4 linked regions of the Arabidopsis thaliana genome follow. The protein of the gene in region 4 purifies or fractionates together with the protein of the main gene of each other region. This does not show direct contact. Each region holds a gene or a part of one and is shown on either strand. Other genes may lie near its edges.

Region 1 (4,322 bases), about 21 Mb from region 4:
AGCGTGTGATGTTTGTTTTTTCTAATTACTTGCAAGCGATGTGTAAATTAGATTAATTCAATCCATGAGTTTGGAACAATTTGTTTGGCCTTCTATCATTAACTCTTGTTCTACAAAGCCGTTTGTTTTGAAATCTTTATTCAAGAAATTCAAGGACACACGTTTATTCATAAATTTAGATAATATTTCACTAAATAAGTTGAAATTGACCCGACCAAGCAAAATAAATTCGTTACACCAAAACACGCCACCAAAAACCGATGAAGTCTGGTAAGAGAACACTCGTAATTAATTTACTCTGATGGTAGAGACTTGCATGCGTGTCAAATTTTGCGAACAACACACGCTTACATGTATTTAATGATAAGAGAGAGATTCACTATACTCGTCAATATTGGGCTTAAAGCCCATATAAAGTCTTAACGGGCCAGACTAATTTAGTAAAACCATCTCCTACAGTCTAGTCTAACCGAACCGAAATAAGTTGACCAAATCCAAACAAAATCAAATTTGTACCAAACCGATCTGTATTGAACTTGGTTAAATCATTTTCTAGAACCGAATCTCGTCACAACTTAAAAAAAAAAAAACATAAATCCGAGTTCAACATCCTAATCATACATATCACCACGAAACATGATAAATAAGGCAAACAGAGGTGGATCCTCAGATCTGCATAGCATCTTGTTCGTCTTCTGCAGCAGCTTCATCGTTTTTGATTGGTTCACTGAACATATACTGACTCTGATACTCAACAAGATACTGCATCGATCTCCTCACATCCAAGAACAGTCTGTAAACTCTCTGAATATCCTCAACCTCCACGACTTTCCCTTTCCGTTTCTGGCATGACAATGCAGCTGCGGTTATAAGATGAATCGCATACCTTAGAGATGTATCACGTCCGATCAATGTCAAAAGCTGTTTGGCCTCTTCGTTCATCTCAACGTCTTCCTCTTGGCAACGGATTTCTAATATCTTCCTTATGTCATCGTCTGTGTAAGGTTGGGTAGTGATGATGAGAAGACGGTCAAGGAGATCAATCGGGATCCCGTGTGGTGATTTCTGGTTTGTGCCACGGATTGTCGTCACTCCTCGGTTTGTTGCCACCACAAGGATTGGTGACATTTCGTTTTCTAGAGCTCGGTTAAGGAATGAGAAGCATTCGATGTCGAGCATGTGGACTTCATCAATGAAGAGAACTCCGGGAACTATCTCTGCTTTTCCTTCTTCTCTCCATTCAGCTACTTTTGTATCAATTTGTTCCCGGACTTCTGATCGGATTTCTCCAGTATCGCCAGTGAAAAGGGCAAGAAACCCTTGTGTCCTGCAAGCAAACAAAGAAGAAGTACACAAAGTTACTTTTTTTTGTTCTACCAATCATGTTTCAAACATTAAATTCCGCAACCAAAATTGGTTCTAACGATACCACAAACAGATGAGTTAGTTATAGTTATAAAGAGTGCTCTGACTACACACTGCTAAAGAAAATGAGCTTGAGAATTTCAAGAGCATATAAAGCAATGAATTAATCTCAAATTTGAGACATCTCATCTGAAATTAGTGAGCCAAATCAACTAAATTCCCAATCACCTAATCACTAAAACTTCAATTTTGCAACCTACATTGGTATTGCAGATACCAAATCATGATTACCAATGTTTACAATTCAGGGAATGTTAAAAGTACCTGCTGTTGATAACATCAATCTCGTGAAGAGTGACACAATGTACAACCTCTTTCCTCTTCTGCAACTCACCTTCAGGGCACTGCACAAACTTGGTCTGCGCACCCATAGCATCATAATCACGAGACCTCGAAAACGATCTTCCAAGCTTAGTAATCTTCCCAGTAGCTTTATCAATGGCAATAACATCACCACTCTGCACTTTCTCCTTGTTCAAAGCCTCAATCATCTTAGCTCCCATATCATACACAGTTTCCATATCAGTCGTTTTCATAGTCATCTTCCCTGACTTGGAAGCAACACCAGAAGAAGCAGGCCTATCAATCTGAACCTCAACAACTTCTCCTTCAATAACCTCTGTCTCTTCTTTGATCCTAACACCAATCGCTTTACGAAAAGACTGAGTCAAAGCTTCTGTCTTTGACATCTCTAATGAGAAAATTTCACTTCCTGCAATCATCGCAAAAGGAGTTTCCAAGCCAAGAGATTTCGCCATACCCATTGCAATCGCTGTCTTACCCGTTCCGGGTTGACCCGCTATTAGAATAGCCCGACCCGCGATTTTCCCTTCTCTAATCATCTGAAGGATTACACCGGCGGCTTTACGCGCCTTCACTTGACCGACCATACCTTCGGAAACAGCTCGCGGCTCGAGGGCAGAGTCGAGACCTAGTCCTCTGATGTGTGAGTGTGCGCCGATTCGCTCGACTCTGGTTAAGTCCCGACTCTCTGATAGCTTTAGTTCCGCCATATTCGATTATCGTCTTCGTGCGATTGAGGCGGAGGGAGAAGAGCAAAAAGTTAAGGTTTTAGGGTTTAGAGAAAAGCTACACAATGGCAATGACGATGTAAGAGTTAAATCCTCTTAACAAGGGCATAAAAGGAACTCACAAATCTTATAGACGAGAATTATAAATTTAGTAATATACCCTTGAATTATTAAAGATGAAGTAATTAACTCTTAGATAAAGGTCTGTGATAATTTGAACCCTAATTAGGAATTTCAGGGATTGCATTGGATCCATCCTGGATATTCTTAGAACTCTCTTTGGCCAGTTTCTTAGCATTTCTTCTCTTCTTGACTTTTCTCGTCTTATCATTGTCACCGATTAGTCCTACCAAACAAAAAATAAAGAGTCAGACGCGTAATGTAATTAATACACAAAAGAGAACGTTTGAGTAATTTGCACAGGACCAACAATGAGACAACAACTTGATGAGCTAGTAGATTTTGATTAAAGTCAAACCCTTGATCTGAATACGTACATGTGTTATGAAATCTAGTTAGATAAAGTACGAATTTTTCCCAAAAGATTTGAAACTAAGGATATCGTCAAAAAAGTCAAAAGCTGTGTGTACCTTCTTTCTTCTCTTGGGCATTTGGTCGAACAAGTTGTGAGCATATGTTGCTAATGCTCCCATCAACCTCTTCTTCGCCACCGTCAGAATCTTCTTCTTCAACATTGCTCCCACAAGCATCTCCGACACTTCTTTCATCATGGGTCTGAAGCATTTCAGTCGGAAGTAAAGGTCCGATGACTTTCTTCCGTCGAGCTGCTTCCTCTTTGAGCATCTTCTTCCTTAACCTCTTTCTCTGCGCTCGACTCTGTTTCTCTGCAATCCCCAATTCGTCTCCGATTTCTTTGTCTTCTCCGTGATTAGATGAATCGATTTTCAAGTAATCCTCTGAATAATAAACAAATTTGAATGTGACTTCCAAAGTGTAAATAACTTGTTAAGATTACATTAATCGTACCTGGGTTTATGAGTGACACATCGAATGGTTCGTTATCAACAACCTCCACCTGAAACAATGGCGGGAACATTTATCGATTCATAACCCAATCGAGAACTAACAAATTGACACAAATAGAGATTGAGAAAATACCGGAGGCGGAGAATAGGAAGGAGAAGAAGGTGGCGATGAAGGAGGATACAGTGTTTGAAGAAGAGCTTCGTGAAATTCTCGACGCTTTTCTTCTCGCCGTCGCATCGTCGGCACTTGGCAGCGAAATCTCCGTCTAATTCATAAGATGTGTAACTTTTTTTTTTTTTTTTGTTCATTATGTCCCTAAACTTTAGTGGTAACTGTATTACTACTCCCAATTTTTTTGATATAGTATTGCACCCACACAAGTCAAAGAGTTCACGTCAAATGTAACTAAAACTTTTTTTTTCCTTCTTTCTTTAATAAACACATTTTAAAAAAAAACACATTCTTATTCCATGATTGCAGGAAAAGTCGGATTCACGAATAGATCTTGCTAAAACGTCAAAACTTGACGAAGAAGCAATAAATGATAAGATCGAGATCGATTCTAAGGGATCGATATCGACAAGGTTTTGCAAGTCCTCCTTACAGGGCTTGAACACAAGCTCTTAGGGTTAGGAGTCCTTTTTTATAGGCTTTACACAAAACACTCTTTAAAACTCTTTAATCAATAATCAAAACTAATTACAATACTAAATTACGTCTTTTCAAATAAGAGAAAGATAAAAAAAAAAACTAACATAAAAGAGAAGCAAACGAATACAAGTACTAAAAGGCTAAATAAACATGAAGCCCATGAGAAACAAAACCCAAACAACGAGCCAGCCCAAACGGGACGAACAACACGTTCGTCTTTGAGATACG
Region 2 (5,129 bases), on a different chromosome or scaffold from region 4:
ATCGAGACGAGAGTCGAGACAGTGTATGATGATCTCGGCGATGCCAACACGGTCTGCATGAACGGAGGTTGGGTCGGATTCAAGACATTGCATGCAAATGGTCGGAACTTGTGCATTATGGCATTCCTCTTTCATCAGGTCCTTCTCGGCGCAAATCGGAGAGATCACGAGCAGAGCTAACAGGAGAAACTTGATCATTATCGTCATTATGCGAAGTATATTTCCTATGATTGATTATGTTATATTTCTTTGAGGGGTGTGAATTTCTTATTTGTACTAAGAATATGGGACTGGGAATGTGGTTGGTCACGAGTTTATCTATCCTTCTCAAAAGGAGGTAGCTCTATTGTTTACTTACACAAGTTTTAACATCTATTCAATTTTACCTTTTGTTAATGTTAACTGACCATTCAAACGCGAGCTGCTCTTCTTCTATTACTCCATTTGGGTAAAATAATAAATCATATGGCTCCAAATTCATTTTCACAAACTTGTTAAGCTAGTTTTCCAATTTGGTAGTTAGTTTAGCTATTATTGAAACATTTGCAAAGCACTGGAATTGGTAATTGTATTTTATAAAATGGAGGAGCCTCCTTCACGGTTGCAAACGTCAAAATAGTGAAAACCTAAACAAACTTAAGATATTGCCAAACCTTGAATCGTTTCCAGACCAAAACAAAAATTCTCCGATGTTCACTACGAAAAACAGACGACATTAATTTAGCTCAAAAAAAAAATACAATACAGGGTTTGTTAATGTTGCATCCCTTTCTATTCAGCGCTCTTAGACTTCTTCTTCTTCTTCTTGGTGCTGTGACCATCATCAGTCTCCTCTTCTCCTCCAGCTTTACTCTTCTTTGTCTTCTTCTTCTCTGATTTCTCGTTCTCCTCTGCAGTCTCCATCTTCCTCTTCTCTTTCTTCTTCTTTTTCTCTGACTTGTCCTCCTCCATTGCCACCACCTCTTCTTCTTCTTCACCCTTTGCCTTCTTCTTCTTGCTTTTCTTCACCGAGGCATCAACTGGCTCCTTCCCTTCCTCTTCTAAAGGAGGAACAGATAAAAAAACACTGAGTTTGCCATCATAAAGAGGACTCTGATTACAACCAAAAAAAAACAGCTACAAGAAATACCTTGCTTTAGATTCTCTATCACCTCCTTCATTACATCCACGTTCTTGCGTGGGGCAACACCTTTGTCATAAAATTCTAGCCTTTCCTCAACTTGTTCGCGAAGCTTCTCACCAAAAGCAGTAGTTGCACCATCTGCATAGGACATCAGGGCACATAATTTAACACTTTCACAACAGAATTCATAATCCAAAACTCTTCTTCAAGGAGTTTCAGATTTTTACCAGCAAAACAATCAATCCGGGATGCTATAGAGCACTTGTTTGCAAGATAACGAGCGATACGGCCCTTGTTCTTAGCAGATGCTCGGCCAATGAAGGAAGAATGGAAAATCAATCCATACTTGGGAGTGTTTCCACGTGTTTTAAGTGCCCTGAAATACCACAGCAGTTCATGTCACAAGCAGCACTAAAAGGAAACTGGTGAACATTAAAAATATAGTGCCAGATATTGCACCTGAAAAGAGCCTTCTCGGCTCCAAGAATCTGGAGGGTGGAAGATGGGCATTTAGCAAGGTTAGTCAGACTTCCAGCATGTGAAATCAAACGGGCACCGACCATTTCTCCAATCAAAGCAGCCAAATTAGGGGCAATGTCGCTCATCTTAGTGACAAGATAATCATAGAGCTTCTTCCTGTAGTCAGCAAGGTCCATAACTTTCTGAGCAAAGGTCTGTACGTTGATTAAGTCAAGCGGTGATAAATCCGAGCCTGCCAATAGGGAAGAGAGTAAATGTCTCAGGACATAAGTTAACAGAAACACACATTAACTCAAAGCTACCAAAAAAGTCAGCTCAAAATTTTTACCCATGGATGCTTTTCCAGCTTCGATGACCTCCTTTGCCTTATCTTCATCCCCTAAGACTTCAGTAAGCATGGGGATGTGATCTTCAGTCAACTTTGACTTGTCATCAATCATCTTTGAAACACGGGCGTAAAGATAGTTGTCATTGACTATCTTCACTAGTTCGGGGAAGTGCCACGAATACCATTCCCTGTAATAACATTATAAACAGTTCAGCTACCAATTTTCTCGAGGAAAACACACAATCTGAAAGGGAAAAGCACAAAACAAACCTGACTCTCATGGCAAAGGAATTGATATCCTTATCAAGCGTGTCAAGCATGAAGATAGCTTGAATAACCATGTTATCCACTCGGTTAACATTGAACTTCACCTTGGCTCTGCTGTAGCTGTGAGCTAATCCAAGCTGAGATTTTTCAAGATCACCAGGCTACATAAACAGAAATTTTTTATGAGAACACAAACCATATGAGATAAGCAAACAGACAAAAAGATTTTAAACACATAGAAAGGAGATCACACCTTTAAGTCCTTGATAAACCTATCAAAATGCTGGCGAACACCTCTGAGAAGCTCAAGAACAAACTCATTGCTCTGGCATGGGATTTTAGTAGCTTCAAATATATGTGAACCGAGTTTAGGCTCAGCCAATCCTAAACTGAACTTGGGTTTCTTTCCCTCCTTGACCTTAGGAAGATTCAACTCCAGAAAACTTCTAAGCTCATCAGTCATAACACCTACCAATATCACATTAAAACCAATTCCAAAAGCATCAATGACAAAACCAAAACAATGAAACAAAAACAGAACACAAAAACAAGAATCAACCATAAATTAAAGCTCTTTCTACAATATATCCAGGAAATTTGAACTATAAGGTTTTAAATCGAAGTGTCTACTCTAGCTCTAAATACAAGAACAAGCTACTCAACACAACACATGAATATACAGAACAAAGAATAAGAAGAGAGTAATGAAGAGTCTGACCTTCAGAGACGGCGTTGACTTGGTTGAGAGCATCGAGAGCAGACTCAAAGGGATGAAACGCTGTGAGCTGAACAACACGGCCAAAGCGACTGAGGTCGGAGACAGAAGTCCGAACCGCCTCAGTGTTCTGTCCGATCTCATCTAGTCCGTGAACCTCGAAGAGACCATAGCCGGAAGAAGACTCGTAGATAACATACATCGCCATTTTTTGAGGAGAAGAAACTAAAACCCTAAAGACCTACTGAGCGAGAAGAAATATACAACGAACGAAACTAGGGTTTCAGGGGTTTAATAAGCGCATCTGTTGATGGCGCTGCTCTTGAAAAATTCAATGGGCCAGGCCCATTTAACGGTGTGTTAGTTGTACTAGCTTATAAAATGCCCGGCCCATCACAACAGGTTAACTTTCTTTTTTTTTTTTTTTTTTTTTTTTTTTGGTCATCCTTGCAAGATATCAAAAGTTTGTTACAAAAATTGAAAAATTGTCAACTAAAATATTATTATTGAATGAAAGTGAAATCTGTTTCTCCACATCCTTATATAGAAGAAAATTGTCAACTTCCATATACAAGCATATCAAATTATAGAGGGGACAATCTTCATCTTCCCTCCTTGATCTTGAATCCAACCATTGGCTTCGATTCGCCGTCTCTAAGTGGCATCTCCGGGCCAGGCGCTATAAAGCTCGTCGAGAAGCTAGTGTCTTTCGTTTGAAAGTTGCTGAATGAGGAGCTTGTGGTGTCATCAAATGTACAGTCGGTTAGGTAGCCTGGCTTAGAGGTGGCATCATTGACCTCAGCATCTCCTGACAACATGGCTACTACTCGTGACATTGGTGGTCTCAACGCATAAGATGACTGAGTGCAAAGCAGAGCAATGCCAATCATGCGTTTCACTTCTTCCATGTTGTATTCACTTAGCTCATCATCTATTAGTTCAACGTCACGGTTTTTCTCGTGTAGATTCCATGCCTGTATACAAGAAATACAAAAGGATTATCGGCTTTTGTCATTTATCACACCATCTTCAACTTCGCCTATATGACAAATATAGACGTACCCATTCAAGAAGATATTTTTTTCCCTCTTCCAGGTTCTCATCAGAGTTTTTCCTTCCACTCACTAGCTCAAGAGCCACAACACCAAAGGCATACACATCTGTTTTCTCTGTTAGATGTCCACGCATGGCATACTCTGGCGCAAGATACCCACTGCATTGATACAACTAACATGAGCTATAAAGCCATAATTGTGTTGCAAACAAAATGTCAGGGTCTATGGATTTTGCTTACATCGTCCCTGCCACTCTGGTACTAATATGGGTTTTCTTGTCATCATATAGTTTTGCAAGCCCAAAATCAGAAACTTTTGGGACCAGTTCAGAGTCCAGTAAAATGTTGCTGGCCTTCACATCTCTGTGTATTATGCGAACACTTGCTTCCTCGTGGAGATAAACTAGACCTCTGGCTACTCCCAGACATATCTCATAACGGGTTGACCAATCAAGATGCAAACTCTTATCCCCTGTAACATCCAACCCAATGGCATAATGATTACTTTAGCTTGGCAGAAGCAGAGATAGGTAAGTCATGTTTCTGTTCATTACCAAATAATGCCTGATCGAGACTTCCATTAGGGAGATACTCATATACGAGCAAACGATGATCTCCTTCAAAGCAGCACCCGTAAAGTTTTACTAGGTTGCGATGTAGAACTGAAGAAATTGCAATAATTTCTGCAACAAATTGTCCCTTCCCTTGCCGTGATCCAATTGACAACTGCTTCACCGCCACCTCTCTTCCATCATTGAGGTTTCCCTGTTGAACGTGTTATTCAAAACAAAACGTATTAAAAGGTATTACATGTACCCTTCTTTCCTAGTATCTCAGAAAAATATACAGCTATTTTGTTCGATTCAGTAAGGGACTTACCTTATAAACAGCCCCAAACCCTCCCTCTCCAAGCTTGTTTGAGAGATCAAAATCTTGTGTTGCATTCTTAAGTTCCGAGTAAGTAAAGGTGTAAGGCTTTACGTCCATACTAAGTATCTCTGCCATAAAAAATTCACTACTTAAAATCAACCAATTTAACAGATGATAGTCAACTTTAATTTTGATCAGAGAGCTAAAGTTATTCAGCTCAAGGGCTTGTTTATGTTCTTATTACATCTGTACCTTCATCATCTGTGTACGGTTTTCTTCTTTTTCGAATGAC
Region 3 (3,843 bases), on a different chromosome or scaffold from region 4:
TCCGCGTCATTCGTTGAGCCGTGCAGCATTGATAACAAGTGGTAGTCCGATATTTTTCCTAGATGCATATACCACTTTGATAGTCTTCTACTCATCAACAGCAGACCCGTCAATACCTTTCCCTCCACCTCAAGACTGTAAGTTTTCTCACCAAATGAAATCCAGTTCAACCACCTTTAGATCTTTGAGACTATGTTGATTCGAAAACTTATATCTTACAGGTTTATTGAGGCAGACCATAAATAAAGTGAAGCAAGAAAGGAGCATCACACCAAAACTAGTGTTTATCCGAGGAGGACGAGACGATGCTACTGTCTTTGAGAACTATCTTATAGAAGAACAAGATGTGGACGGTAATGGTTTTGCTAGCGCCATGGGTTTCGTGTCTTTCCTCGATGATATTTCGCAGCGTGTCACTGAATACATGAAGTGAAAGCCAAATGACCCTCTAGTTTATTATACATCCAAACTCAAAATTTTCAACTGTGTCAGAGTTTTACTCTTCTTGTTGTAACATTTGCTTTAGACTAGCATCCCAACTTTTTTGCTCTCTTAATCAAAATGAATAATTAAGCTAAAATTTTGTTGCAAAACTTCATTTTCTAAACTTTGACTTACATATTTGGTAACACTAGAGCCAAAGAGCAAAAAGATATGTTAGTCTATTACATGCTCATGGCCACAACCACTGCTTCAAGCTTACAAGCTAATCTCCAACATAAACCTGAAAACATGTTCTTAGCAAAAATATAACCTTGAGTTCATTCATCTTCTTCATCACTCTCTACCTCTTCACCACTTCCACTTACGCTCCCGTCCTCGTTCTCATTATCTTCACCAACCCCGCTCCCATTTTCTTCCATGCTATGGTCCTCATTCCCGCTCTCTTCGCTCTCATTCCCATTCTCTTCCATGCTGTTTTCCTCATCCTCCTTCTCGTTCTCCTCATCATTCCCATTCTCTTCCGTATTTTCATCGTCGTTCTCCTCATCATTCCCATTCTCTTCTGTATTTTCATCGTCATTCTCATCTTCCTCATCGTTTCCATTCTCATCCTCCTCATCGTTTCCATTCTCTTCTTCCGTGTTGTCATTCTCAGTCTCCTCGTCATTCCTCTTAGTTTCCTCATCTATTTTGCTTTTCCTTGCACCCTTTTGCGTAGATGGTTCTTCCTGTTTCCTCTTCTTCGTCTCTTTGGGCTTCGAAGCAGTTCCACTTGAAGATTTCAAAGCAGCTCCACCAGCAGGATACGAAGCAGCTGCAGCACCCGCCTTTTTCCCCGCATTCTTCTTCTTAAAATCTGAAAACCAGTCATGTGGATTACACTAGGATTGACATCATAAGCTCAAAGTGCACACACCTAGGCCAGTGTCCATAACAAGACAAATCACAACCTAAGCCATTTCTACTAACACTCCATGAAAGTAACAACAGATAGTGACAATAGGATCTTCATCCGAACAAAACACTTACCTTCAAGAGAAGATTTAAGCGGCTCCAAAAATTCTGAAAAATCCATTTCTTCTAATGCCTTAAACACATCATCAGCCTTCATAGTTTGTCTTCTTGCATCTTTACAAAAATCATTTGCCCTATATCATTCACCCCCAAATTAAACTAAATCCATCAATTCGATCGATCACAATTCACAAACACTAACATTCATCAATTGAATCACATTAACATAAACCCAAACTTGGAACATTCCAAATCATTCACTATCATAGTGCAGAAATTCGAAAAAAAGTTAGGGTTTGTGAAGTGTACATACGTGGCGGAGAGGTAGTGGATGAAGATCCTCGCACTCTCTGAGAATGCGAGCAAAGCTTCCTTGTGAATACTGACGTCATAATCCGGCGAACACTCCGACAGCTTCTTCTTCACCACCCGGCGCACAATAGCTAGCGGCAGCTCGTCCACCACCACTTTCTCCGACTCCATTCTTCTCTCCTCTCTCTCAGTCGCCGTCTTTCCCGCCTTTATGTTAATAATACAACAAAACACATCGGCCCAGTAAGCTGATCAGCCTATTAAAATATTTAAAAGCCCATATTCAAGTTTATAAGCACTAAAGAGTTATGACCACGCCGCTCAATATTACCCGTTGGATTGATTGACAAAATCCTAGCCGTCAAATCGTACTAGCAAATCGGCCCATTATTCAAATTGATAAGCACTAAAGAGTTATGAGCACGTTGTCAATCTCACCGTTGGATAACCTTTATTAAATCTTCACCGTCCAATCGTAATACTAATAAATTCGATCAAAACACGAATAAGAATCGGAGTCGTCTTCAACCTCTGGAATTTGAGACATCTTCGAATAACCAGATTCTCCGAATTCGAGCCATTTCTAAGAATTTCATACTCTGATTAATGTCTTACTCAAACGCCTACGCACCGTCGGCACCGGAGCTACCAGAATCGTTCGTTCAGCAGCAGCACGATGGTGAAAGTAGATACACTTACGCGTATCCATCATATCAACCAACTCAGCAATTCAGCTCTTACTCCGGGATGTTTTCCCCGGAAACGCATCCGGAGATTGTGAGGAGCTTTGAGTCGGCGGATAGAAACCGGAGCGGATTTCTCGAAGAATCGGAGCTCCGGCAAGCGTTGTCGTTATCTGGGTACGATGGAATTAGTAACAGAACGATTAGGTTGCTGTTGTTTATTTACAAGATTCCTGTAGATTCTCTGCTTCGGCTTGGTAAATTCACTTATTGCAGCTTTTGAAATTGGCTTTTTGATTTCAAATATGAATGATGTTACAAAATAGCCATGTTTCTACCTTTTTATGTAGGTCCTAAGGAGTATGTTGAGTTATGGAACTGCCTTGCGCAATGGCGTGTAAGTGAACACTTATGTGGATCAATCTAGTTGAGGCAATGTGTGTATTCTTCTATGCCTTAAAAGTTAAAAATGGAGTGTTACTTTTCAATGTGTGTTCTTTTGTAGGCAATATTTAACAGGTACGATAGAGATAGGAGTGGAAAGATGAATTCTACCCAGCTCAGAGACGCTTTCTATAATCTCGGGTGCGTGCTTCCAACCTCGGTTCACCAGCTTATCGTATCTCAGTTTGATGATGGGACTGGCAAAACTGTTGACCTATGTTTCGACAGCTTCCTCGAGTAAGTTTTCTGTATGTTTTCATCGATTCTTGCGGTTCTTAATTTGTATACTAAGCATCATCGGTTTGTTTCCCTCATTTTGTTCTGCAGGTGTGGGATGATTGTGAAGGTATGATCTTTTAACCTCCATGAGAATTTCGACAATGTGTTTACATGAATCTAAACCACTTGAAATTGTTTAAAATGTGTCGTATGCTTATTAACAGGGATTGACAGAGAAGTTCAGGGAGAACGACCCTGGTTACACAGGCTACGCAACGCTCTCTTACGATGTCTTCATGTTGATGGTCATTCCGTTCATCGCCACCTATGATTAATGGTCACTTGCTACTTCTTTCTTTTTCTCAATCACAGATTCAAGTTGTATATAGATAATAGATGCCTGAGTACTGACTGAATAGGAGAGTGAATTCAAACTAGTGAATAGTGTAATAAGCTAATGCTGAAGAGAGCAAGAGAATAATAAATCAAAGCTTTAAGATTATAACAAGTTTTTTAGCAGTAACAGAAGTGAAATGTTAAGAGCCAATTTTGAGCTGTTTGCAAACAGATAATCCTAAAATCACTGAACCAAGGACCGAGAAGGCTCCTTGCCTTGAACGCCAAAACTCGATCCACGTCAATGGTCTTCTAATTTCAATCAAAACCTTCTCGAACTGTTGGTGAAGGTCGTCAAGAGAGCCATTATTATCGATCACAACATCAGCTT
Region 4 (7,873 bases):
CGCCTGTTGTTACAAGTTACATGTACTGATATTAATAATTGTTCAATGAAGAAACATCATGAGTTCATGACCAGCTGTAGCTTATGATATCAGAGCAGACCTGTAAGCAGTGTTCAACGTCAAATATGACCTCTATTACTTCGAAATCCTGCACCATCCTAACAAACGTTAGAGCTCAACTCAATAATTGCGGCTTCAAAGTTCAAACAGTGATCTGCTTCAACATGTGTTTTTTACCTTTGTCAAACCATTGCATCTTTCGCACGTCCAAGTGAAGAGTTTTGTCAAATCAGACTCATAGACCTGCATACATCTTACAAACTTGATTCACTCATCTTATGTACGTTATCAGCATCATCTCTTTTCTCTAGTAGTGCAAATAATGATAAATGAAAATATGAAGAGGACAAGTGTAATTTCTTCTCACTTGCAGAACACTAGATATAAATGACATTCGTTCTACAGGGTATTACGTTTTGAAGCTAAATCATTATCAAAGGTCTTTTACTACTTCACTAATCTGCCATTAACTTACCGCAGAGGCATACTCCACAAGCGTGACGGCAAGCGTATGGTTGTAAACAGGTCGATCATCATCGCTCTTCAACTTGAGAACTGCAGTTAGAAGAAAGAAGCTAACATAAATCCACTTGCTTCAGTCTTAACTCCTTCGTAGCCTCACAACTCATACCAAGAACATGAAATTGTCGAAAACATAAAGCTTTGAAATCAATATTTTGACCTTCATGGTTCCTTATGTATATGATGATGCTACAAGGATTATGAATTGATTTGTTCCAAACATGATAGAACATGTAATTAGGCCTTAATGAAAAATCACTGTAGCCAGATTAAATTTCCAATTTCCCAAGCACTTCACATTACACAGAAAGTTTAAAATCTTAATTAAGCTCAGAGAGACTCAGGAGAATAAAAAAACTGGAAGTCCCAATAAAGGAAACAGACATAGAATCATTATAGAAGTTGCATTACCACCTCTACCATATGAAGATGAAACAAGAAAAGTAAAAACTGCCAGCAAGAACAACAATCTCTTTTGTCCCATGTTCTGCAAGAAGACAATAAACACAACCACATCATCCTCTGTTCATCAACCAATGTTAAGGGCAAAATTGAGCTAAAACAAAGCAGAATTCGGAAGCAAATTAGCCAAAAATATACCTTATAAAACGAGACTCACGAAACCCAAACTAATGAGGATTAGGACAAAACCCGAAAGAGATTTCAGCAACCAAAAGTCCCAGATAAATTAAACTGAGGATCCAAAGCCTAAATTGGACTTCTTTTACAACAATTCGGAAATTTCCGACGATGATCGGAGATTATTCCCGGCAAGAAAATTATACGGCGAGCTTATATATTATTATATAGAAGTCGTGATCTTGCGAAACAGAAGCTAATAGAAGAAAAGAAACGGCGATTAAAATACGAATATTCGGTTTTTTTTTTCTTAACTTCCACTTTCATCCTCTATACGCAAAGGTGCATGAGACAAGCGTGTAGGCTCTTTCAAAGGGTATTATTGGAATTTTAGGTGTGTAGCGTGTCGCAACTTCAAGTGCTGAGGTGTCAGATACGTGATTCGGGCGGATAAATGGATAAGGCCGTTCCGTTATAAGAACGAGAAGTTGACCTTTTTGACTTTCGCTTTCTTCTAAGTTTAACTTCGAGCCCATGGGCCTTTAAAGCCCGAATTCCAAGGCGGGAATTTCCGAAACTCTTACTTCTCAAGTGGCGGGAGAATCTTTATAAGTCAAGCCAACGTGGCACATCTCAGCCGTAGATTTGATTTCTCGAAATCAACGGGGTAAAATAGAAGCTACGGTCGTTTCAAACGTCGGGTTTGTTGCTTTTAATTTCACTTTTGTTTATTTACTAACCAAAGCAAAAAAAACTCAGGAACCCTCGATTCGATCTCTCAGACGAAATCAGGATTCGTAGAGGCGCGTCGATGGCTAGAGCTTCGAAGCGGGAAGTTTCTTCAGACGAGGCTTACTCGTCGGAGGAAGAGGAGCAAGTTAACGATCAGGCCAATGTGGAAGAAGATGATGACGAGCTCGAGGCCGTCGCTCGCTCTGCGGGCTCTGACGAGGAAGATGTTGCGCCCGACGAAGCACCTGTCTCTGACGACGAGGTTGTCCCCGTAGAAGATGACGCTGAAGAGGTATGTCTTCGTTTCTGTTTTCCACTCTTCGATTTACATTCGCATGTCGGCTGTGAATTCGGGGATTGCTGTATTTGGAAATCTGAATGTATTCTAAGTAAGATTAGGGTTTCCTTTGAGCGTATATTCGATATTTGGGTGTCTTTTGGTTTCGACTCTCTTTGTTTGAAGGTTTATGCTTAGAAGTGCTTACAATGATGGGTGGTCGCTCATTATGATGGTACATTCATGTGACTCGTGAGGATATTTGGTCACTCTTTTCATAATTTGATGGTTATATGTAGGACGAAGAAGACGAGGAGAAAGCTGAGATCAGCAAACGTGAGAAGGCTAGACTCAAAGAAATGCAGAAGATGAAGAAGCAGAAAATTCAGCAAATCTTAGACTCCCAAAATGCTTCCATAGATGCTGATATGGTAAGTTAGTAAATAACTGAGCTGCTTGTCTTTAGTATCCAGAGGTATTGAAATAACTCAATCATTCCATTTATTAGAACAATAAAGGAAAGGGGAGGATAAAGTATCTTCTGCAGCAAACTGAGTTATTTGCACATTTTGCTAAAAGTGACCCGTCTCCGTCCCAGAAGAAGGGAAAAGGAAGGTGTGTTGAGTGCAACTTATCTCAAAATAAATTGTGGTTATTCATATTAAGTTTCCAGAAATATAATTTATTGGGTTTCACTTTATCGTCAGGGGTCGCCATTCTTCCAAACTAACCGAGGAAGAGGAAGATGAAGAGTGTTTAAAAGAAGAAGAGGGTGGTATAGTTGGATCTGGAGGCACACGGTTGCTCACTCAGCCCGCTTGTAAGTACCTTTGTTTTGCTCCTAATATCTTGATATAGCGTATGTTTGCTCAAGTCCTATTGCGAGTCGAAGTTATTATAGGATTTGACACCTTATGCCCACTTCTTTGATTGGTAGAGTTGTTTGATATATTCTTCAGTTGCGAGCTCACAATTTCTAGGTAGGACTGCATAAATTCTGTAGAATTTAGAGATCTGATCTTCATACTCTTCATATTGCAGGTATTCAGGGGAAGTTAAGAGATTACCAATTAGCTGGTTTAAACTGGCTCATTCGGCTGTATGAGAACGGCATAAATGGGATTCTTGCAGATGAAATGGTAAACCACTAATTATCTTAGCATATAATAAGATTTTTCAGCTCTCTAATGTTATCTGATGCTAATCTTTATTGTTTTTGTTCATGGTCTAGGGTCTGGGGAAGACGCTTCAAACCATTTCTTTGTTGGCTTACCTGCATGAGTACAGGGGAATTAATGGCCCTCATATGGTAGTTGCTCCAAAATCAACCCTTGGTAACTGGATGAATGAAATTCGCCGATTTTGTCCTGTCCTGCGTGCTGTGAAATTTCTCGGTAATCCCGAGGAAAGAGTAAGTCATAATAGCTCTTACATTTGAATGGTTGCATTTATATGCACCTGGCAGGATTCTGAGATATATTTTAAATAATGCAGAGACATATTCGTGAAGAACTGCTAGTTGCAGGGAAATTCGACATTTGTGTAACAAGCTTTGAGATGGCTATCAAAGAGAAGACAACATTGCGCCGTTTTAGCTGGCGATATATAATCATTGATGAAGCACATCGAATTAAAAATGAGAATTCACTCCTTTCGAAAACCATGAGACTTTTCAGCACCAACTATCGGCTTCTTATCACGGGAACCCCCCTTCAGGTACTTGTCAAATCTTTTGATCTATAATTGTTTAGATCCTTCAATTTTTCTGTCAGATTGCTTCTGCCTATGTTGAAACTACTTTCTTGCTTGAGTCTGTTGAACTTAGTTTTTTTTTCTTTTCGTGTTCCTTAGACATGCTTCTTACTATCTTCTGTACTTGATTTGCTTGAGTTAATATTGTATTCATTTCATATGTTTCTACTACAGAATAATCTCCATGAATTGTGGGCCCTTCTCAATTTTCTTCTCCCTGAGGTTTTTAGTTCAGCAGAAACTTTTGACGAGTGGTTTCAAATTTCTGGTGAAAACGACCAGCAAGAAGTTGTTCAACAACTTCACAAGGTATGTACTCATATTTTATCAAGGTTATTCTCTAAGTTCTTATGCTAATCATTTACCTCATCTTTGTAGGTTCTGCGACCATTTCTTCTTCGGAGGTTAAAATCAGATGTAGAGAAAGGCTTACCTCCAAAAAAGGAGACAATACTCAAAGTTGGCATGTCTCAAATGCAAAAACAGTACTACAAGGCTTTACTGCAGAAGGATCTTGAAGTGGTTAATGGTGGTGGAGAACGCAAACGTCTGTTGAACATAGCAATGCAATTGCGGAAATGCTGCAATCACCCTTATCTCTTCCAGGGTGCGGAGCCTGGTCCCCCATATACTACAGGAGATCACCTTGTAACAAACGCAGGTAAGATTTACATTACAAGTAGATCATTCAGAAATGTGGCAATTGGCTTAGTTATTTTCTCTTTACATGTTCTTGTTTCTAGGTAAGATGGTTCTCTTAGATAAATTGCTACCTAAGTTGAAGGATCGAGATTCAAGGGTTCTGATATTTTCTCAGGTATTCATTAACGCAAACAAATAATTGTTCCTATCTTTGATTCCTTTTTTCTGAGTGATATCTTTCTTGGTTCTTTGTGCTTATTCCAACGATTTTGCTCATCTGTATCAGATGACAAGGCTTTTGGATATTCTCGAGGATTACCTAATGTATCGTGGTTACCAGTACTGCCGTATTGATGGAAATACTGGTGGTGACGAACGAGATGCTTCCATAGAAGCCTATAACAAGCCAGGAAGTGAGAAATTCGTTTTCTTGTTATCCACTAGAGCTGGAGGACTTGGTATCAATCTTGCTACTGCAGATGTTGTGATCCTCTATGATAGTGACTGGTAAGGCTCTTTTTGTGTCCATTGTAATTTATGAGTGTTTTCTTTTATGCCTAATGAGGTGGGTGGATTATGGCAGGAACCCTCAAGTTGACTTGCAAGCTCAGGATCGTGCACATAGGATTGGTCAAAAAAAAGAAGTTCAAGTGTTCCGGTTCTGCACCGAGGTTACTCTTGTACCCATGTGTATGAAGTAAGAATGACCTGGAGAACTTGAACTAATTCTGCATTGGTCTTATGCAGAATGCTATTGAGGCTAAAGTCATTGAGAGAGCTTACAAGAAGTTGGCACTTGATGCTCTGGTTATTCAGCAAGGGAGATTGGCAGAACAGAAAAGTAAGTGCTTGTGTACTGAGGCTGTTAGATGTATTGGATTTTCTCTTACATATATATACTGATTTCTTTTCTTTGCTTTCCAGCTGTTAATAAGGATGAGTTGCTTCAAATGGTGAGATATGGTGCTGAAATGGTGTTTAGTTCTAAAGATAGCACAATTACGGATGAGGATATTGACAGAATCATTGCCAAAGGAGAAGAGGCAACGGCTGAACTTGATGCCAAGATGAAGAAATTTACTGAAGATGCAATACAGTTTAAAATGGATGACAGTAAGTGTGCTATTTATCCCTTTTTCCAATGGTAACTCCCTTGCATGGGTAATGGGATGTCCAAACAAGATAGTTTTTGGTTTGTTGCAGGTGCTGACTTTTATGATTTTGACGATGACAACAAGGTATTCTTGGATAATTAATTGAATGATTGAAGGAAAGGTTTAACGCATACTGTGGTTATGCTCTGCAGTTTTTCGAATATCGTTTCCTGATTTCTTTTTTAATTTTGTTTGGTAGGATGAGAGCAAGGTGGATTTTAAAAAGATTGTGAGTGAAAATTGGAATGATCCACCAAAAAGAGAGAGAAAGCGCAAGTAAATATTACTTCTACTTTTTCATTACGTGGTCTATCCTGTCTTCCTAAACAATATCTAACTTCAACAATTTACTTTTCTCTACCCACCCTTTAGCTACTCTGAAGTTGAATACTTCAAGCAAACGTTGCGACAAGGTGCTCCAGCTAAACCTAAAGAGCCTAGAATTCCACGCATGCCCCAATTGTGAGTACCTCAATTGTCTCCACTCTGCATTTAGCCTTTTCCCTGTCTTATTTATAGTACTTTTATCGTAAAAATCTAATTTCTTGTCCATCCTGCAGGCATGATTTTCAGTTCTTTAACATTCAGAGGCTGACTGAGCTGTATGAAAAAGAAGTGCGATACCTTATGGTGGGAATAACAAGTTTATCAACATGTTATGTAATTTATGCAGCTTTTGTGTCTGATTAGTTCTGAATAGCAATTTGTTTCACTCTGGTTTCAGCAAGCACATCAGAAAACTCAAATGAAAGACACAATTGAGGTTGATGAACCTGAAGGTCTTTCTCAGTCTTTGCCCTCTTTTCTTACATTATTTTACTGAATCTATTACTTAAGAAATAATTTTGCAGAAGTTGGAGATCCCTTAACTGCTGAAGAAGTGGAAGAAAAGGAGCTATTGCTGGAAGAGGCAAGCCAAACCATTCGACCTTACTGTGGGTTGACATTTGTTTTTGATGGTTTTTTTATAATTTAATGGAGTTGATATTTTTTAGGGTTTCTCAACATGGAGCAGAAGAGACTTCAATGCCTTCATTAGGGCTTGTGAGAAGTATGGCCGGAACGACATAAAGAGTATTGCCTCTGAGATGGAAGGGAAAACTGAGGAAGAGGTTGAACGATATGCTCAAGTTTTCCAAGTGCGATATAAAGAGCTGAATGGTTAGTAACTTTAGATTGTTAAGTAAAGTTAATGAGTGTTTGCAGTGCGACAAAGTTGGATATTTATCCTAAGTAAGCTCTGCCTCTTGTTTTCCTTTGTAAAAATTGTAGATTACGACAGAATCATCAAGAATATTGAGAGAGGGGAAGCAAGAATCTCTAGGAAAGATGAAATCATGAAAGCTATTGGGAAGAAACTGGATCGCTACAGAAACCCGTGGCTGGAACTGAAGATTCAATATGGTCAGAACAAAGGGAAGCTGTACAATGAAGAGTGCGACCGTTTCATGGTATGACATCTATTTATCAAACTCTTTGTTGAGATTTCATTGTTATTGTTTTATTCTAATATGATATTGACCCGATGAACTTGTGATTATCAGATATGCATGGTCCATAAACTTGGGTATGGAAACTGGGATGAGCTAAAGGCAGCGTTTCGGACATCCCCCTTGTTTAGGTTTGACTGGTTTGTAAAATCCCGCACAACTCAGGAACTTGCAAGGAGATGTGACACACTAATCAGGTTGATTGAGAAAGAGAATCAAGAATTTGATGAGAGAGAGAGGCAAGCCCGAAAAGAGAAGAAGCTTTCAAAGGTGAGGACTTGAAGGAACATTTTTTTTTTTTTGTGCGAAGAACATTTTAAGTTTACATTTTCATTTACTGATGAGATGCTGTGGAATTGTTTCTCATGATCTGTTCTACAACTTGTTTCAGAGTGCAACGCCATCAAAACGACCTTCGGGTAGGCAAGCAAATGAGAGCCCTTCATCTCTTCTGAAGAAACGAAAGCAGCTGTCAATGGATGATTATGTGAGCTCGGTACTCAAAATCATTTCCAAAACATAAAAAGAGTTTTTCATTTTACTGGTTAATTCATGCAAAGCAGACAGACCATCTATTTCTGATCCTAACTAAAAAAAAACTTTATGTCTCTGCAGGGAAAGCGTAGGAAATAAGAAGGCTTGTGTTGAATCCATCACTAAGTAAT

The links.
Region 1: the proteins of CHR17 (region 4) and AT5G67630 fractionate together in Arabidopsis thaliana (co-fractionation; one large-scale study listed by BioGRID). This does not show direct contact.
Region 2: the proteins of CHR17 (region 4) and NOP56 fractionate together in Arabidopsis thaliana (co-fractionation; one large-scale study listed by BioGRID). This does not show direct contact.
Region 3: the proteins of CHR17 (region 4) and NF-YB11 fractionate together in Arabidopsis thaliana (co-fractionation; one large-scale study listed by BioGRID). This does not show direct contact.

What each region holds. Positions count from the first base shown.
Region 1 is NC_003076.8:26,966,869-26,971,190, forward strand, and holds AT5G67630 (P-loop containing nucleoside triphosphate hydrolases superfamily protein), read right to left. Parts: upstream 2,533-4,322; 5' UTR 2,439-2,532; coding exon 1,690-2,438; intron 1,328-1,689; coding exon 667-1,327; 3' UTR 510-666; downstream 1-509. Other genes in the region: AT5G67640 (uncharacterized protein), read right to left, coding at 2,678-2,802, 3,047-3,373, 3,444-3,492, 3,576-3,680.
Region 2 is NC_003070.9:20,983,773-20,988,901, forward strand, and holds NOP56 (NOP56-like pre RNA processing ribonucleoprotein), read right to left. Parts: upstream 3,181-5,129; 5' UTR 3,122-3,180; coding exon 2,917-3,121; intron 2,667-2,916; coding exon 2,452-2,666; intron 2,360-2,451; coding exon 2,202-2,359; intron 2,120-2,201; coding exon 1,932-2,119; intron 1,836-1,931; coding exon 1,583-1,835; intron 1,500-1,582; coding exon 1,351-1,499; intron 1,262-1,350; coding exon 1,130-1,261; intron 1,041-1,129; coding exon 772-1,040; 3' UTR 631-771; coding exon of another isoform or gene 587-630; 3' UTR 563-586; coding exon of another isoform or gene 529-562; 3' UTR 501-528; downstream 1-500. Other genes in the region: AT1G56100 (Plant invertase/pectin methylesterase inhibitor superfamily protein), read right to left, coding at 1-207; AT1G56105 (uncharacterized protein), read left to right, coding at 1-110, 139-215, 282-337, 529-562, 587-630; AT1G56120 (Leucine-rich repeat transmembrane protein kinase), read right to left, coding at 3,516-3,887, 3,976-4,126, 4,208-4,439, 4,522-4,732, 4,847-4,965, 5,090-5,129.
Region 3 is NC_003071.7:11,744,435-11,748,277, forward strand, and holds NF-YB11 (nuclear factor Y, subunit B11), read right to left. Parts: upstream 2,022-3,843; 5' UTR 1,942-2,021; coding exon 1,772-1,941; intron 1,753-1,771; exon of another isoform or gene 1,593-1,752; coding exon 1,474-1,592; intron 1,301-1,473; coding exon 762-1,300; 3' UTR 547-761; downstream 1-546. Other genes in the region: AT2G27460 (sec23/sec24 transport family protein), read left to right, coding at 1-137, 222-433; AT2G27480 (Calcium-binding EF-hand family protein), read left to right, coding at 2,377-2,710, 2,804-2,850, 2,959-3,134, 3,225-3,243, 3,341-3,451; ATCOAE (dephospho-CoA kinase family), read right to left, coding at 3,653-3,843. UniProt on the Arabidopsis thaliana protein: Component of the NF-Y/HAP transcription factor complex. The NF-Y complex stimulates the transcription of various genes by recognizing and binding to a CCAAT motif in promoters.
Region 4 is NC_003076.8:6,196,158-6,204,030, reverse strand, and holds the start of CHR17 (chromatin remodeling factor17), read left to right. Parts: upstream 1-1,864; 5' UTR 1,865-1,972; coding exon 1,973-2,185; intron 2,186-2,469; coding exon 2,470-2,601; intron 2,602-2,678; coding exon 2,679-2,785; intron 2,786-2,877; coding exon 2,878-2,990; intron 2,991-3,211; coding exon 3,212-3,309; intron 3,310-3,401; coding exon 3,402-3,581; intron 3,582-3,664; coding exon 3,665-3,886; intron 3,887-4,096; coding exon 4,097-4,231; intron 4,232-4,300; coding exon 4,301-4,583; intron 4,584-4,665; coding exon 4,666-4,739; intron 4,740-4,850; coding exon 4,851-5,071; intron 5,072-5,147; coding exon 5,148-5,235; intron 5,236-5,311; coding exon 5,312-5,405; intron 5,406-5,488; coding exon 5,489-5,677; intron 5,678-5,767; coding exon 5,768-5,802; intron 5,803-5,917; coding exon 5,918-5,994; intron 5,995-6,090; coding exon 6,091-6,180; intron 6,181-6,278; coding exon 6,279-6,348; intron 6,349-6,442; coding exon 6,443-6,497; intron 6,498-6,569; and 12 more. Other genes in the region: AT5G18630 (alpha/beta-Hydrolases superfamily protein), read right to left, coding at 1-3, 101-148, 238-303, 536-615, 994-1,066. UniProt on the Arabidopsis thaliana protein: Possesses intrinsic ATP-dependent nucleosome-remodeling activity. Constitutes the catalytic subunit of several complexes capable of forming ordered nucleosome arrays on chromatin. Involved in the formation of nucleosome distribution patterns.